2 linked regions of the Callithrix jacchus genome follow. The protein of the gene in region 2 interacts with the protein of the main gene of each other region in a pairwise test. Links are inferred from orthologs where the notes say so. Each region holds a gene or a part of one and is shown on either strand. Other genes may lie near its edges. The genes, in order: FERD3L and MAGEB4.

Evidence for each region.
Region 1: the proteins of MAGEB4 (region 2) and FERD3L interact in binary tests that used the Homo sapiens proteins (3 or more experiments, as listed by UniProt). The two-hybrid records come from large-scale screens. The link is inferred for Callithrix jacchus from reciprocal best matches to the Homo sapiens genes MAGEB4 and FERD3L.

Annotation. Positions count from the first base shown.
Region 1 is NC_133512.1:39,272,721-39,282,495, reverse strand, and holds FERD3L (fer3-like protein), read right to left. Parts: upstream 6,504-9,775; 5' UTR 5,990-6,503; coding exon 5,501-5,989; 3' UTR 2,910-5,500; downstream 1-2,909. UniProt on the Homo sapiens protein: Transcription factor that binds to the E-box and functions as inhibitor of transcription. DNA binding requires dimerization with an E protein. Inhibits transcription activation by ASCL1/MASH1 by sequestering E proteins.
Region 2 is NC_133524.1:31,132,653-31,142,004, reverse strand, and holds MAGEB4 (melanoma-associated antigen B4), read right to left. Parts: upstream 5,989-9,352; 5' UTR 5,853-5,988; coding exon 4,812-5,852; 3' UTR 4,259-4,811; downstream 1-4,258.

The sequences.
Region 1 (9,775 bases), on a different chromosome or scaffold from region 2:
TCCTGTAAAATGTCAAGTTAGTACTCAACATTCAATACTAATCTGCTAGTTCTTTTTGATAAAAATAAAATAGTCTAATTTATATTTTCTATTAAATAGAGGCTCTTTTTAAAGTCTTAGGTATATTTCGAAACTGCACATGTAAAATGTACTTGTGGCTTCATTACCTTAGAAGTTTTCTTTGAAGATCTGTAATTAAGAAAAAAGGTCCTCTAAAATCATGCTTATCTAGTTTCGTCTCACAATTTTTATAGCCATGTTATCACTTTCCAAAGACTGTTTCATAATGGAGAGGCTGACAAATCTGATAATAAACACGAATCCAAGGGTCTTAATTGTAGTATAAGTCTGCATGTAAGAACTATGTATACTAACAGAATATTTGGTTCAGTTTCCAGCACTTAATTTTGCCAAAATCTGCTTTCACATTGGGCAACTAACTGTAAAAGATGATCAGCTTAAATGACTCCCTGTTGTTGGTAAGGGTTTCTGTTTATTTTTAGATTCCTCAGAAAGCGTAATTATGTCCTTCAAATATGATTTCATTTGGATCTTTTTATGACTTACTTGTCTGAATACCAATAGTAATCTGATAGCTATGGGGAACTTGGTTTGAAACCAAAAGGCAGTAGAGAGTATATAAATAGATCGCCTCCAAGCAACATCTCAGATGGTGTTCAGATTCTAAATGTTCTACATGTTCAAATGACTTTCAGATTTCAAAAACAAATTACTTTAATTTTCTAGAAGTAATGGACACCATTAGGTCTTTAAAAAAACTGATTGAAGTTATTAAAAAGCCAATATCTACTCATATTTCTATCCATGTTGGTTTAGGAGATAATAAACAGTAAAACTATTTTAATATAATGGGTGTTACATACAAAAACCCTTGTATTAAAAATTAGCTGGGCATGGTGACATGTGCCTGTAATCCCAGCTACTTGGGAGGCTGAGGCAGGAGAATCACTTGAATCAGGGAGTTGGAGGTGGCAGTGAGCCAAGATCGCACCACTGTACCCCAGCCTGGCAACAGAGTGAGACGCCATCTAAAACACACACACACACACACACACACACACACACACACACACACAACTCTTGTATTACAGGTACACTGATTTTATGGATCTAACATGAGGAAAACTAAAGTTAAAATAATGTGTAGAAAAGTCAAGGGTCAGAATATGGAGGTATTCTCTATTTAAGTTCAGGATGTGGATCATTTTGTCTTATCTCTATTGATATTTGATGAAGGGAATAAGTCAATCCCTTTATATGTGTCTCTGATCCTTACCTGGCTTCAAATTACTCTGACTAAAATTATTATGAAAATATCTTAAAAGACTGCATTTGAGACAGTTCCTAAACATGTAAAACTTACAAATACAAAGCATTTATAAACTGTTAAAAATTTTTTTATAGAAGGATGGATATAATTCCTCTAGTGATAACAAGAAAATAACTTTCATTTAGAAGTTTTTAAGATATTATTTACTATGTTGAAGAGGTATTCACTAGAGGAATATTATTTGCCTACTAGGAATAAAATATATTAGAATATGAGGGGGAAGACTAAGGACAATGTGTGGCTGTATTTACTCCTCAGGATCCAGCAATGTTGATGGTCCCTGGCTACACAGTTTTGCTTTATTTCTGGTTTTCAAAACTTGTTCTTTAAAAAACATATTAAGAATTCCTAGATTGGAACTACTTTTCTTTCCTTTTACTTATTTAACACTTTCAGATGATTTTTTTTTAAGAATGATGTTTAATTTCTAGGAGAACTTGCACTGTTAGAAGAATAAGAAAAAACATTAACAGAAGTAGGCTTCAGAAGGTGGATGATAAGAAACTTCTGGGAGTTAAAAGAACTTGTTCTAACCCAATGTAAAGAAACTAAGAACTTTGAAAAAAGGCTTGACGAAATGCTAACAAGAATAGACAATATAGAGAGGAATATAAATGAACTAATGGAGTTGAAAAACACAACACAAAAACTTAGCAAAATATGCACAAGTTTGAATAGACAAATTGATCAAGCAGAAGAAAGGATATCAGAGGTTGAAGACCTACTTAATGAAATAAAATGAGAAGACAAGAATAGAGAAAAAAGGATAATTTACATTTGATAGGTGTACCTGAATACAACAAAGAGAATGAATCCAAGCTGGAAAATACTCTTCAGGATATTATTCAGGAAAACTTTCCCAATCTAGCAAAGCAGGACAATATTCAACCCAGGTAATACAGAGAACACCACAAAGATATTCCTCAAGAAGAGCAACCCCCAGGCACATAATCATTAGATATACCAGGGCTGAAACAAAGGAGAAAATACTAAGGGCAGCCAGAGAGAAAGGTCAGGTTACCCACAAAGGGAAGCCTATTAGACTTACAGCAGATTTCTCAGCAGAAACCCTACAAGCCAGAAGAGAGTAGAGGCCGATATTCAACATCCTTAAAGAACAGAACTTTCAGCCCAGAATTTCATATCCCACCAAACTAAGCTTCACAATTGAAGGAAAAATAAAATCTTTTATGAACAAGCAAGTACTCAGAAATTTTATTACCACCAGGCCTGCTTTACAAGAGCTTCTTAAAGAAGCATTACACATAGAAAGAAACAACCAGTATTAGCCTTTCCAAAAATATACCAAAAAGTAAAGAGCATCAACATAAAGAAGAATTTACATCAACGAATGGATAAAATAGCCAGTTAACATCAAGTAGCAGTAACACTAAATTTAAATCGACTAAATCCCCCAATCAAAAGATACAGCCAAAACCTAATGGTATGCTACATCCAAACCCATTTCACATCCAAAGATACATGAAGACTCAAAACAAAGGGATGGAGAAAGATTTACCAACCAAATGGAGAGCAAAAATAAATAAATAAATAAAAAGCAGGAGGTGCAATTCTCGCATCTGATAAAATAGATTTCAAAGCAACAAAGATATAGTGGTAAAAGGATCAATGCAACAATAAGAGCTAACGATCCTAACACCTAGATACATAAGATCCATAAAGAGATCTAGACTCAACGAGACAGAAAATTAATAAGGATATCCAGGACTTGAACTCAGATCCAGAACAAGTAAACTCAATAAATATTTATAGAGCTCTCCATTATTTAAAATGGAGTGTATTTAAACACAAAATATACATTCTCCACCTTAAATACACAAAATATTGATTGGCCATTATTAATACCCATTTTTAGAATAAAGCTACATTCCCGTTCCCCCTCCCTCTTTTTCTTCCTCTTTCTTCCTCTCCCTCCTTTTTTTTTCTTTCTTTCCAAAAAAAAAAAAAAAGAAAAGGAAAAACAACACTCTGTGGGTTTTGTTGTTGTTTGGTGTTAGCTGCTTATATTTTTTTATTTTACCTGTTTATCCTAATGTTCTTTCTTATGGTAGAATTGGAAAAATTATTCGTGGAAAGACACAGCAAAAGTAAAAAAAAACATTTTGGGAGCAGTGGCTCATTTCAGAACCAACCCAGGTCCTATGGAAAGGAAAACTAACAAAAGTTTTAAATGTTCAAAGTACTAATGATGGGGCTTGGAAACAGGCAAATTCCTGCAATGCTAGAGGATGGGAGAGTGAACTGGCAGAACCCACCAAAAAGGGAATCTGGCCATTTGTATCCACAAACTTAAATCCAGAAAATTCACTTCTAGGCATCAAATATTAGGAAATAGTAATAGACAGAGAAGACATTTACAAGAATGCTCTTAGCAGCATCATTTATTTTTTTAAAAAAGGAAATAGCTATCTGTAAAGGGCTGATGTTGTGATACATGGATATGACAATAAGATATGGTAATCAAAACCACATTTGAATAATATTTCAAGTTAAGGGAAAACAATTGCACCTTCTAGAATGTCAAGTGAAAAAATATCAGTATCCCAAAGTATGTTGAATTAGTTAAATATATTGAATTTATAACTGCATAGGGGGGAAAAAGACTGGAAAGAAATAGATGAAAATGCTAACAATATGGTAATGTGGGGTGATTCGGTTTTTTTCTTTTTTGAACTTTTGTTTTCCAGACTTTCTAGAAGTATATATTACCTATTAATGAAATGAATTCTATTTCTGAAAGCATGATTAAGTGAATTAGGTGTTCTCACAGGCGCCTGCCTATTCCTGTGCATAAAGAGGGGCAAAATAAAGTGTTGGAATAATCACTGGGGATTATCCTTTAGGATTACTAAATTTACGTTTGGGGGGAATTATTCAATCAGGTTCCTCTCCTCAGGTACTCCCTCCTTTCTAAAAGACCCCAGTTCTGGCACATCACCTAGAAGGGAGATTCCTGGAATAGAGTGGGGTCCAAACTGGAGGCAGCCTCTCAGCATGGACCCGCTTCAACTTCTGCGTGGCAGCCGTTTTGCAAGGCGTCTGAACGCGTCTCCTCTTTAGACTTTTTGTCTCTCCTGGTAGTCTCTAGAAGCCATAAGAGTGAAAGACATCTTTCCTCCCTAGTGCTAAAAATGTCAAAGTGCGCGCTCAGGCGGCACTGCTCCTAGAAAGATCCAAGCCCCTTCACAGAGTTGGTAGCGCCGGCTGTCGGCTAAGCCATAGGGCGCCCAAGGCCCGCTGCAGGCCCAGAAGTGACCCAAGTGCACTCGTCCCTTACTCTGGCTGGGGCCTGAAGGCACTGGAACCGGAAGCTGACGCTGCACTTAAGATGCAAAGCGTAGAATGGCACTCTGGCTAAGACACTGACTCCACACCACTGTGGCCCTGGGACAGGGAGCTATGGTCCCTCTGGGATCAACTAGGTGGAAAGAGAGAGAGAGAAAGAAAGAGAGGGCTGGCGCAGGGGAGAGAGAAAGGTAGGGGAGGAAGAGGCAAAGGAAGACAGGAAGGATGTCCCTTCGCAGAGGTCGCACTTTGTCAGCAGTTCCCCTCGACTGCTCTGCCTTCCATTTTCCCTTCTCTCAGTTCCTGGACACGCCTCGGAGGACCAGAGAGATGATCCTGAGCCCCTCGGGGCGTCTGCTCCAGATCCTCCACGCAGGCGCCCGCTGGAGCGCCTGCCGGGGATGGCGTGGCACCGACTCTTGAAGCTTTTTAAAAAGTAAGAATTTCTACATTATTATTTCTATGAAAAAAAAAAGGGTAAAGAGGAGAGATTAGATTCTATAGACGCTCCAAAGTCTGCCATTTCCGAGGAGGGTTTGCTTCCCACCCACCCAACCCACAGAAGCAGCCTGGACGGCCCCTTATCCTCAAGCGCTCTGACTTCCCGGCTCTCCCCTGACACCGACTCCACTTAGGACGGGTAGTCGCGTAGGTAAGAACTCTACAGCAGCCACTCTGCTCGGGGGTCTTGGGGATCTTACAATCCCTAACCCGAGCTCCAGAAGGCCAGACGTTCTGTCTTGGGGCGTCCCTCCTTGCCCTCCGGCCGCACCCCGCGCCCGGTCCCGACACACCCCAGCCCGAGCGCGCCCAGACGAGGAGGGGGCACTCTCCCCACCCGGCTCAGCCGCTTTCCTTCTTCTCGCAGCTCTCCAAGAGCTCGGTCATGAAGGAGATGTAGACAATGGCCAGGCGGAGGGTCTCGATCCGGGACAGCCTTTTCTCGTAAGCAAACGTGGGCACCTTCCTCCGCAGCTGGTCAAAGGCCTCGTTGAGGTTGAACATCCGCTTCCTCTCGCGGATGTTGGCGGCCTGGCGCTGGGCGTAGGTGATCACTCTTTTCCTCTTGGGGCGGCCTAATAGGGAGGTGCCTCTCCCGCGCTCCTCTTCCTCCTCCTCTTCCCCGTCCCCCTGGTCCTCTTCTTCTGGGCCCCCCTCCTCAAACCGCTCCATCCTCCTGGGTCTTCCCTCTCGGAGCGCAAGGGCTGGGTCCCTGAAGGAGGCCCCAGGTGCGAAGTCGCAGAGGAGAGGGCGTCTCGGGGAGGCCAGGGACAGGTCTGCAACGAAGCCCAGCACCGTGGCGTCCACGCAGCTCTCCGGATAGGCCGCCATCGCTTCGGCTTGGCCCTGCCTCTCATCGGTTTTCCGCAGGGAGGAGCGAGGCTGCTGGTGGGGATTCTTAACAGCCTTGAATCTGATGGGGCATCATCACCGAAGGGCCAGGGAACATTAAATATTTATCACCAAGCTGATAACAGGATTAGTCGCAGCGATAAGGAATGCTCTGACAACATCCCTCCTCTCGAAGCTTATGGAAGATGACAAGCTTGAGCACGCATGGAAGACTCAAAGGGACAGGACTCCAGTTCTGAGATCCTTTTCTCTGCGCCACCCGGGACAGTTCCTTCTTGGCAAAAACCCCCAGCTCTTACCTGCTGTGCTTTTTGTGTCTCTCCTCACCCCTGCAGCCAACTAATGTTCTCTAGGCTCCTTATCTCGTGTAGTTCTTTAATTTCGTTTTGGATTTTCAAAGCGAGGATGTTTTCCAGCGCGATGGCTTCTCCTTGACTTCAGGGTAGGAGTCTTGAATCTTGCCACCATCTGCCAATGGATGTGGAGCAAGTGCATGCGCTTTTAATGATGTCCTGAAGAGGGGCCCTGCCTGCCTGGGATCGAGGGTAGCTGTTTGTCTGGTATCCCAGTGCAGCGGCTGCTGAAAGGCAAGACCTTCCATTAGCTTAAGTAAGCATGGCAGGGGGGCCGAGAGTGCATTCCCTAGAGTCGCTGTTGGAACCGGCTTTCTTTTTCTTTCCAGGGCATCGCAAACAGCTCTCCTGCCACGTTACAAACCCTGACTTCGAAAGTCTGTTTGGAGGCAATCAGCTTAACAATTGAGATACTTGACTTTCCTTTCCTTACTTTACCTCCTAGTCATGTAAAATAGAGGATTTTATTCCAAGAGGAAAAGTTATAATGGCAATAAAATGAGAAATTTAAGCTCAGGACATTTTGCAAACTCTCCCCACAAACAAAACCACTTCAAGCTCCTTTCAGAAATGCGGTTTGCCCTTGATAAGCCAAGGAGTCCTCTGCTGAGAAGTCCTCCGACTTTTAAGTTGCGGAGCGAGTATTTGTTTCTGAACAAAGAAAAAACCTAACACTTCCATCTGGCGTATTTTCCTCATTGATTTGTGTTGTCCTACATTAAGATTTAAGAGCAGAAACAATTATTTATTGCATTATATATAAGGAAGACTTTTGGCTATCATTAGGTCATTATTTTTTGAGATAAATTTTAAATTTGGCATAAGAAAAATAAGATTTTCCTGATTTTATATTATCTCTAGTATCCCTAATATTTTAACAAACGGGTTCTTTTTTTTCCTTGTTTGCCAATAATTATATTTACTTAATTACACAGTACTGTGTAAAGATTTACTTAAAAGACCCATTGGGTAAAAGTGACAGATTAGAAGATAATTTTTAAGGTAGAGTAGAAGAAGCAGCCTAAAAAGATGAATGTAGAAACATTCCGGTTCAAAAGAGAACCGCTGAGGACATCAGTCCCTATGAAGGGGTAAGTTGTGGCTGTGATGGTTCACTCAGGACATTGGACAGCTCCCAGAAACCGCCTATTTCTATAACAGGTAATCTCAATTCGTTTTGTTCTTCCTAACCTCTCGGTGTGTAACCAAAACGTATAACTTTGAATTCTTCTTTTTCTTCTTTTAGCCCATTTGTGTCTGGTGTCTCTCGATCTTTTAATAGATTTTATCTCATTTGCTTGTGTTTACCCTTCATTCTCCAGTTTGCATTGTGATAACTCAGGCAGAGAATAATTGAAATTTGTGATCCGGAAGATGTTAATGAGACTGAGATCCTGGATATTACTTCATTGATTTTTACTAAGCTTCTTTCAAAGGGAAGGCTGAAAAACAAAAACTAATAGGTTCGTCAACAGTGGCTATGAAGCTAGTAAATGGGAGAATTGATTTTTGTTTCAAAAAAGTACTAACATGCTTTCTAACCCTTGTTTAAATTAATATGTTATTAAATATTTGGGCAAATTTATTGTTGATTTTTAAATTATGTTAAATGCTTCTCAGTGACTTATTTTTTATTCCTTTACAACCCTATTTGCAAGTGGATTAAATACTGCAGTCAAGTGAGAATTTAGTTGCACAATATAATACATTGGGGCACTTAATGAAGGAAAACATGGTTGATACTTAAATTTAAAATGTCATGAAATGGGGGTCAGAAGCTTTCACGAGACTCTAAAGGGACAGTTTCTTTGGACTGAACTCCTTTATGATTTTAGCCAAGGGAATGTCTCTCCCTCTTTTCTTTTCTCTCTCTTTCTCTCCCTTCCTTCCTCCCCCCTCTCTTTTTTCTTTCTTCTTTCTTTCTTTCAACAGAGTCTCACTCAGTCATGCAGGCTGGAGTGCAGTGATTCAAACTCCTGGGCTCAAGCAACTCTCCCATCTCAGCCTCCTGAGTATCTAGGACTGCAGTCACTGGCCACCACATGAGGCTAAATTGGTTTGTGTTTTAGAGAGAAGGTCTAACTATTTTGCTCTGGCCTCAACCAATCCTTTCACCTTGGCCTTTCAAAGTGCTGAGATTACTGGCCTGAGCCCTGCACCTGGCAGTGAATAGAGATTTCAGTAATCATATCATAAAAGGAATTGTAGCAAAAGTAATGGAAGCAGTGCCCAGAACTTGGATGAAATACTGGTATGAAAGTATTAAGAATTTTTAAAGTGTCCTAATAGGTACATCTACAGCAAATATTTTTAAATGTTTTTGTTTTTATTTCATCATAAAAATCCCAGGATAAACACTTCTGTTTATACCACAGTCGTTTTATCTTACAAGGCTATAATCATGCTAGTATAATTAAAGCAAAAAATGTTAAAACCTAAGTTATGATAATAAGTGCTTTTCATTTATAATTATAGTTGTATAATCTATAATTATAATTATTTTATTTATAATTTAATTATAGCAAGAGCAGTAAATTTATAAAGTACCAAGTGATGTTACAGTTCATCTCATTGGAAGGAACCATTATTTTCATTTCTAGATTTGAAAGTTAAGAGAGAGAGGTTTTTTTAAAGACTCAACTGAGGATTAAACGCAGCTAAGTTTAACCCTGATTCCTCTGGGTTCTAGCTCTATAGTTTATAGATATTCAGTAATCCATAGGGAGGCGTTTATAAAAAGTTTGATAACTCCTTCACAAATTTTGCTCAAAATATTTCAAGAAATGATTATGAAATGACAATCAATTTTGCTTATTTGATTATCTGGTTTATTTCTATTGACCATTCCCATTAGACATTAAACATTTTGTTTATACTATTATGTTAAGAATCAAAGTAAAAAACAATGACCAAGAATAACTTGCACCATAATTCTCAAATAAGCTGAAGCCTGGGTTTAAGGGTGCTAAGGGGAAAAAGGTGGAAATATAAAGCATTCAGGGAGTAAAACAAATAAGTCCCCCCAATTTTTAAAACCCTACCTTTCCTTTTCTTTTTCTTGTCCCTTCATTATTCCAGAAACATGAACTTGTAGGGCAAATGATAAAGATATGACAAAGGTAGATGTTTGTCATGATTGTAGGAGAAAGGCATAAGAAGTACTCCTGCTGACATGGAGAGGGGACCAGCGGCTTCTTTCTATTCCATTTCAAATTATGTATGTCATGGCTGATTTAGAGATAGAAGAATATATAATCACCTGTTTTGTTTCTTTCCTTTCATATTTTAGTTAAACTTATTTTTGAAGTTCAGTGTATATACTTTAAAATTCACAAATCATATATATGCAGCTTCATGAATTTTCAGAGTGAATGTATCGATGAAGCCAGTGCCCAAATCAAGAAATGGAATG
Region 2 (9,352 bases):
GTGTATTGAGTAGCCCCCATTTCCTCACTCAGGGTCTCCACCTCCACTCGGCACTCCTTCTGGGACTCCACCCATCACATGGTCCTGAGACTATGCCCCGTAGACAAAGGTCCTCATATTCCTTGGACCTAAGTTCACAATCATAGCGAGCCACATCCCGCCAAGGCTGACTGGGGCCTGCATGTGCAAACAGCAGGGGCGGGACTTTTGGCCCCACTGTTCTGGAGTCTTCGACTCCCTCAGTCGTCACACAGAACTTTGTCCATGACTCCTAGTAGGGTTTAAGACTCCTCCCGCCATAGACCTGAGTCTATATGCCTTATACCAAAGCTCTCATCTCCCTGAATCGCCGACTCCCTCAGTCGTCACACAGAACTTTGTCCATGACTCCTAGTAGGGTTTAAGACTCCTCCCGCCATAGACCTGAGTCTATATGCCTTATACCAAAGCTCTCATCTCCCTGAGTCGCCGAAGAGACAGTCAAGTTACTACCCACTGGTTACCTAAAGCCTCCCAGGACCAAATGCAAAAGCGGGACTTAATGGGGCCCTATTTGCTACGGGTGAAGGTGTCTCTTCAATTTACACTCAGGGTCCTCACCTTGACTCCTGACCAGTCCTGAGAATTCACCGTCGGCCTACCGACGCTGCGCCCCTTAATTGGCGACTCGCAACTCGCCTCCTCGCCTCCTCACCTTCAAAGCGAAAGTGGTAAGTCACATCCGCCTGGGGTCAGCCCCCTCCCCATCACATACGTCACATCCGCCCGGGGCCCCGCCCTCCCCCACCGCCTGCCCCACCCTTCAAAGCGGAAGTGAGGATGAGCAACATCCGCTTGGCTCCTTGCCCTCATAATGGAAGTGAGGACGAACCACGTGTGCTGGAGTCCTCGCCTTCAAAGCAGAAGTCAGGATGAGCCACATTCGGCAGCCTGGGGCCTTTGAAGGGTGAAGGCAGGAGCATGATGCTATGGGAGGTCACTGTTCTTGTGTTGCTAATCTCTACGTACCCCCTAGAAGTCCTTACCTTAGTATCTAGCAGCCTGGGATGACTCCGCCTGCTGACCCAAATCTGCCAGCCTCCATACAATACCCCAACCTCCCTCAAACCCACGGTGGAAATCTGAGCATGCGATACAGGCCACCCCTGCCTGGGCCTCACAGGCCTGACAGCAGTGGCAGGACTCTGTGAACGTCCCTCTTTTGGGGAGAGGTCTTCCTCACTAGGACTCCCGCTCCTGCTCCGGCTCCGGTTTCCTCTCCAGGCAGAATTAGAGCGACTCCCCCTTCAGGGCCAGATGCTCTCCTCCCTGAGACCTTCCAGGCGGAAATGAGAGGCACCTTAGGCAGATAGCTCTGTCTGGTGCTTCAAAACGGGATGAACTCTGTGTGGTCTTGTCTGCTGGTGGAGTCCCCGCATAACACGTAAGAGTCCTACAGTGATTCTTGTTAGAGTCTCAACCTCTTCCCTCTGTGAAACTGACGCTGCCCCAAGTAGACGGAACCAGTCACCTCCCTGAGACTTTCCGGGCAGAAATCAACCTGCCATCCCCGCCTGGGGCTTTTTGTGAGGCCTCTTCTTAACCCTTAGTCCACATTCAGCCTCTCACCTTGACAAGTGAGCAAACCTATAACTCCACCCTTTATTTACCTGAACCTGCTCCTCTCACATAAAGGTCCTGTTTTCCTGAGAATTTGGAGTTGGAATTCTGGATGATCCTCATATGATCATAGTTCTTTTGCAACCTGCAAGAACAGATAGTAAGGACAGGCCTCAATAGAGCTCCACAGTTTTGCTCCTCGCCTTTACATGTATCAGAACCTGGGACTCCTCTGTTTACTGAACTGAGGTCACCCTCCTGAAGGGTCTAGATGAAACCTTACATTTTGAAATGGTTTTCACCCTACTATTCATTCATGAGGGTTCTCATGTTGGCTCCTGTCTCTTGATCAATGTCTTCCAGGGAAATGTCACATCTCTGCAAAAATTTGATCAATTTCCTCTTTGCAGAGCTTGCAGAGAAGAGGTCCCTGTCCCAGAAGTAATGTGACATTGGGAAACTGAAATGGAAGGTGGAGAGCCTAGGACAGATACTGTGCTCTCAGGGGAAAAAACATGCTGATCTGTTCTTTCACTTCACCAACCAAAGGGTATTTCTAAAAGACTTACTTTCTATAGAAAAGGGTGAAGCCAGATGATTTTGCAATCTTTCGATCTTTTGAAGCTATCTGATTTTGCTTCTGTTGATGATCATATTGTCACCGAGTATTATTTCTTTCTGTCTTTAACTTACATGTGTCAATTATTTTGGTATTATCCTTGCTCTGGTTTTGTATTCCAATCAGTGTTTGGGGCATAGACCTCTTCTTTGTTACCTGAGATACACTTTGGGTTAGCAGAAGAAAATGAATTAAGCAACTTGTGGTAAGCTTCAGTTTGGGAGGAGTGGAACAGTGTGGACTCTAGAGGAATTCAGATCAGCAGTCTAGTTTCAGCCCTATCACTTACTAGCTGTATGAACTTGGGCACATTACCAAACTCTATGAGCCTTAGGCTCTGCATCTGTGAAATGGGCTTGATAAGCCTTGTGATGTAGGACTGGTGGAATGTGGTTAACATGTGCAAAGCCCTGGAGTGCATTGAGACTTTAAACAATGCTTATTACTATGATTATTTCAACTACAGAAGAAATCATCTGTAGTTGATTCAGAAGAAATCTGCTGATTTTTTTTAAGCCCAAGTGATAACAAAGAATATACAACATTCTAAGACATGAAACTACAAATCAGCCCAAAATGCAGCTTACAAAGAAACTCTAAGTATCTTTTCCATACTGAATCATAGTTTGAGTGTGGAGTTGTCTTTCTCAGCTGAAAGCAACTGAAACCTTCTAGGGTTTGCTTCAAAGACCAACTCTAGCCTTTCATACAAACCACCCTTATATTCATTTATTTTACCATCACCAAAAATCTAGATGTCCCTTAAAACTTCCAAAACACATGAAAGAAAAGAAAAATGAATGCCCTTTTAATGGAATGGATTCTGGCTCCCCAGCTGATGGCAGAGTATTAGCCCAGTGGCATATGAGTTTCCAGTCTTAAAGGAGTAACACCTTTATTTCTCAGAAACACCCCGGGGACTATGTGCATAAAACACCTAATCTGTGTACTGGATTCACTTGCGCTGGGACAAGAGCACAGGCCATTTTCAATCCCTACCCCAGGCAAAGATTTCCTCTGTTTTTTTCCACAATTCCAAAGTAACTTTTAAGGGCAATTTTTCATTCCAGTCTCTAACTCTCAACTCTGAGATCCATCATCTGAGTGTGTGACCCCCCTGCTCGGTGCGCCCCATCTAGTCACTATGCAGCAACATAAAATTACCTCCTACTGCAGTATGTTCAGTTTCCCAGAGTCTCAATTACCTTGCTTAGGACATTTACACTAGATTCTTCCCCTAGAAACACCCCCACCTTCTTATATCCTCTTTTCAACTGTCTTTAGGTCTTAGGGACTATCTCATTACCTTCATTATGTGATAGCTGCTGTTGAATTCTAAAATTCTATGGACAGGGTTTTATTTTTTTTTAATTTTTATTTTTTTGCTTATCCAGTGCTAGCTAGGAGCCCTCTGAAGAGTAGCTGCTCAATTAATATTAGGACAATTAAAGTGCAAGTGAGCCGGAAGTCAAATGTATTGCTATTTAATTTCTCCCACATTCCTGAGAAAGCTAACCCAATCCAGATACATATACTTCAGTTTTACAAAGAAAGACTAAAAGGAATAAAACAAAGCAAGAATTGACCACATTTTACTTTTTTTTCTCTATTTCATGATCCCACCAACTTTATTGCTAGGTAATTTCCTTTTCACAAATTCTGTATTCTAATGTCATATTGTCTTGTTCTAGATCACAGAAAAAGATTTAAAGATTTTAAATTGTTTTACATAATGCAAAAGTTCTTGTTCTTCAACCTGACATATTTTAATAAATGAGTTTTTCATGCCATTCATAAACTTAGATTCTGAAACTAAATAATTCTACAATTAAAAGAAAGAACACTGAAAAACAGGAAAATGAAAAGATAAATCATTTTACATACAAATATATTATATATGATGTTCCCACCAACTCCTCTTTGGCCCTCTATTAATTAGAAGGTTAATATTTTCTTTAATTAAAAGTAAAGAATATACCTCAGACTTCACAAGGAGTGGATGACACTGTTGGACATCACACTGGAACATGCCAGGAGCAGTTGCAACACTGTCTCCCTCATCTCTCAAAGTCTTCTCTTAATAGAGGGAAGACAATGGGGACACTGTCATTGACCTTGGCCGAAGCCTCCACATTCTTAAATAATCTAAGCAAACCAGGTATGTAACTTTCAAATTTATGAACAACAAAAGACTAAAAGTAGTAAGATAAATCAAAAATAAAGCAACTTTTGCTTTTCTTCTCTTTCTGTCTTCAGATTCTTCTATTTTACTGTGGCGTTATTTTAAATTTCTAAAAATAACCTTACTCCAACGCCATGTTATTTTGCTCTGTATCACAAAAACGATTTTCAGATTTTCTATTTGTATTTCAAAAACCAAACTCTTATTACTAAACCAACCTGATAAACAGAAATAAGTGTGTGATGCATGCCATTTCTAAGCTTATATTCTGAATTTAAATAACCTTTCTATTTTAAGAAACATCACAGGAAAATTCAACAAAGAGATATATCACCGAGTTATTCATGCAGCACAGGAACAGCAGAAGGCAGCAGGTCTTTCAACTACAAATTGAACAATTTGCCTTAGATCTCACATGGGGTGGGAAGAGCTGCTGGATGTGTCCCTTGAATGTGCACTAGTCATGGCAGTAGTGCCACGCCTGGCTGCAACTCTGGGCCGGGCTTTGGCTTTCTCTTCTTCATCTCTCAAAGCCTCTTCATAAAGGAGTGGGAAGTTACTGGGGATGGTATCATTCACCTTGGCCAAAAACTCTAGGACTTTCATCTTGCTGGTTTCAGCATAGGCTCTTGGACCCCACAGGAATTGATAGCGTGGGGGATCACTGTTGGGCACCTGCTTGTACTCCAGATATTCTTCCTGCACCAGATCTTGGGAGATAAGCTTTCGGGCATCCCCAAAGATGATATGCCTCTTACCATCATAGATCCCCAAAACATTCAGGAATTCCCAGATTTCCTCTTCACTGGCACAGTTGCCACTTAAGAAGATCACACTCAGTAGAGGCATCAGAAGCCCATTCCTTGGATATTTCCAGGAACTGCTCTCGTTTCCATCGTTGGTGGGATTCAGCAAGCTGACAATGGTGTAGGAGTGACTGGTCGGGTTGACTTCCTTCAAGGAAAGGCCAAAGACCAGCTCCATGCGCTGAGAGGCTCTGCTGAAGATCTCAGGGAAGTGCTCCTTGTACTTTTTGCTGATGATCTTCAGCATTTCTGCCTTTGTAGTGGGCTCTTTCATTTTATACTTGTACAGCAGGAACTGCACCAACATCTTCGTCTTCCTGGTTATAGGATCTTTGATTGAGCTCTCAGTGGATGTTGAGGCCTGGAAGGAACTTGCCTTTTCCTCACCTTGGCTCTTGTCACTTTCATCAGATCCAGTGCATGACATAGCTGCAGCACCAGTGGTGGGTAGTGCTCTCTGAGGCCTCTGCAGAATGCCAGCAGCAGGGGAGCTGGAGGGAATATCCCCCAAAACAGATGAGGAAGAGGAATGAGACTCTTCTTTCTCTGCTGCAGTGGCCTGAGCAACCTTGGTATCCTGGGTCTGACCACGGGTCCGCTGGCGTTTCTCACGGGCACGGAGCTTACTCTTCTGACCTCGAGGCATGATAGCTGTGATTAGGCACAACAGGTAGGAGAGTAGCCAGAAGGGCAGGTGATATGGTGCCTGGAGAAGAGAGATTGAGATCCTGAGAACACCTTTAGTAGGCAGATACTACCTTGGCTTTTCAGAAACCGTCTCTGCAGGATTCCTTGAGAACACTGCTCTAAGTATTGACTGGGCTATTGTTCTTCGTCATTCTGTCCCCTGAGAACTCAGCTGAGGAAGTTACAATGTGCCTTAGGCTGCAGCTTGCCAACCCTGCTGGGGGCTGACTGGGTTCTCTCTGTGTTCTGGCTTGGAAAGGATCCACTCTGATTACTTTTAGAATTATCCTGTCAGCTCTTGGCAGGGCCTCAGCCTCCTTCTATTGGTGTTGTGAAGTAGAATCTTTAACTTTCTATGGGACCCAGATGAGGGAAATGTAGGGGCACCTCAACCCACCACCCCTGCTTCGAAGCATTTAGTGCTCTCTGTCCTGGGATCCTCAGGTCCCAAGTTTGCACTCAGTTTCCTCATCTGGACTCCATGCAGGGTTGTGGACTGTCTCTTCTGATGACTAATAACTGCGACTTCAGACCAAGAATTTCACCTTTTCTAGTTCTGACATAAAATGTGATGGGCATCTATGAAAAAAAAATTGATAATCTGGGCTTCACTAAATTATAACTTCTGCTCTGGTAAAGATACCACAAAGAATAAGACAACTCCCAGATTGGGAAAAATTTATTTTCAAAAGACATATCTGATAAAAGATTGTTAACCAAAACATACAAAAAATTCTTAAAACTGAACAATAAGAATGGACCAACCCTATTAAAAATGGGCAAAAGATATAAATGAGCATCTCAACAATAATATATACAGAAAGTAAATACGTACATGAAGTGATGCACAACATCACATGTCATTAGGGACTTGCAAATTAAAGTAATGTGAAACCACTCCATACCTATAAGAATGGTCAAAATCAAAAACTCTGATAACCCCAACTACCGACGAGGATGTGGAGCAATAGGAGCACACTGTCATTGCTGGTGGACATGCGAAATGGTACAGCCACTTTGGAAGACAGTTTATAAATTTCTTACAAAACTATGTGTAGTCTTATCATATGATCTAGTAACTGCACTTCTTGTTATTTAGCCAAATGAGTTGAAAAGAATGTTCACAAAATAACCTGCACACAAACATTTATAGTAGCTTTATTTATAATTGCCTAAACTGGAAAGCAGCCAAGATGTCCTTCAGAAGGAGAGTGGGTAAATTAAGAGTATAAAATATTATTCAGTATTAAAAGGGAAAGAACTATCAAGCCACAAAGAGACATGGAGGAAACCTAACTACATATTACAAAGTGAAAGAAGCCAATGTGAAAAGGCAACACAATGCATAATTCCATCTATAGACATTCTGGAAAAGGCAAAAGTGTAGAAACAGTACAAAGTTGAGTGGTTTCCAAGGGTTGGGAAGAGTGAGAGATAAATACATGAGGCACAGAGAACTTTTAAGGCAGTAAAGCAATTCTGTCTTAAATTGATAAGGTGATAATGATGTGTCCCTGTATGCTCAATTGTAACAAGTGTATTACCCTGGGTTGGGAGGTTGATATGAGGGAGGCTGTGCCTGGGAGGACAGGATGCCTGTGGAACTCTCTGTGCTTTCTGCTCAGTTTTGCTGTGAACATTAAACTATTCTGAAAAAAGAAGGTCAAGTATTTAAAAAAAAGTGATGGTGAAGCCTCAGCCTCACATGTTGCCCTGGCAATTTAAGATTTATGCAGGGGGCTAGAGTCTGTTGTCCTCTCTATTTAGAGGTGAGCAGCCCCCTCAGCTCTCACTTGTTTTCCTTTATTTGGCTCCTGGAAGATCCTGAGGCTCCCCTCCTTTTTGACCTCAAGACCTCTCTGTTTAAAAGGCCTGTACCTCCCTGAGATCTGATAGGAGGAGGAGAGGGTGGCCTTATCTGGCCATAACTGACTATGGTCTCCCAAGAGTGGCGGCTGTGGTAGCCAGGTTGAGGTCTTATGGTGGATCGTCCTACTCAGGTCCTAACTCAGGATCCTAAATCTGACTCACAGGAAGGCTTAATATTCCTCCCCCTGCTGAGCTGGGACTGCCCACCTCAGAACAAGACCTTCACTTCTCTGTTACTACTGATGATATGAGGGTGCCTCTGTCTGACATTCATGCCTGAATCTCTCAGAGATGACAATAGGGAGGATTCTGTGGGGTCTACACTGATAGGGGTTTGGTGGTTCCTGCACCCTTCAGGGTACTCACTTTACTCCTGGCACACCTTAGGAATCCTATCTCTATGGACCTGAGTCAGCTAGCCTGAGATAATGGTCTTTAACTTCTTAAGACCTCCGGAGTAGAAATTAGGTTCAGCTACATCCTGTCAAGACTATTGGGGTGAATGCTTCCCTCATTCTTTATTCAGGGTCCTCAACTTGGTACGTGTCAGAGAATGGGACTCCTCCCTCTACTGACCTGAGGTCCAAGAACTCACAAGTCCCTATGAACTTTGAAGAATAAGTGAGGAGATGCTCAGGCTAAGAACTGTGTCTGGCATGTTGCTCTGCTCTGTCCTCCTATATGAGGGTCTTTTTCTTGGTTCTTGTCCCTTAATTAATGACTTCCTGGGAAATACCACATCCCTTAAAAGTCTTGACCAGTTTCCCTACAACAAATCTTGCAGACAATGCATCCCTGTCCCAGGAGTGATGTAAGATGGGGAAGCTGTAACACAAACAGAAGCCCCAGGATAGAAGTCATACTGTCAGAGAAACACATTGATCTATTTCTTCTCTTTACCAGTCTCTTATGTATTTCTCTTGGAAAGTATTTAACTTCCTTAAAAAATGGGGGGACTGACCAGAATGACAGAATGTGAGCCCATGATCCTTTGAGTTTATATGTATTTGATTATGCAATCATATTGTCATCAAATATTGTCTTTCTCTCCTTTATTCACACGTCTCAGTCATTTTGGTGATTTTGTTGCTTTGGTTCTGTATTCCAGTCCAGCAAATTGGGCACAGAATCTTATAACTTGATGTACATTTGGGAGCAGTGAGAAGAAAAGTGAGTAAGGGGACACAGTCAGTCTCAGGTTGTGAGGCATGAAGCAGAGTGTGCTTTACACTCATTCAGACTAGGGGTCTTGCCCCAGTCCTGTCACTTACCAGCCATGAAAAAATTAGGCACATTAACAGACTGTGGGCTTCAGACATTTTTTCTGTGAAGTGGGTTTGATAAACTCTGTTTTGTCGGACTGGTAAAATGTATACAATGTATATAAAGTATTTGAGATGCATTGAGACATAAAATAGTGCCAGTTCTTATTATGATTCATTTGTCCCCTGACATTGCCATCCACTCCACTGGGTCTTATTTTTCAGTGCAGGAGATGTCGGAGATTATACCATATTCTAGGACAAAGAAAGCCCTATCAGACAAAGTGCTACTTAGAAAGGAAAACTAATTAATATTTCCTTATTACTT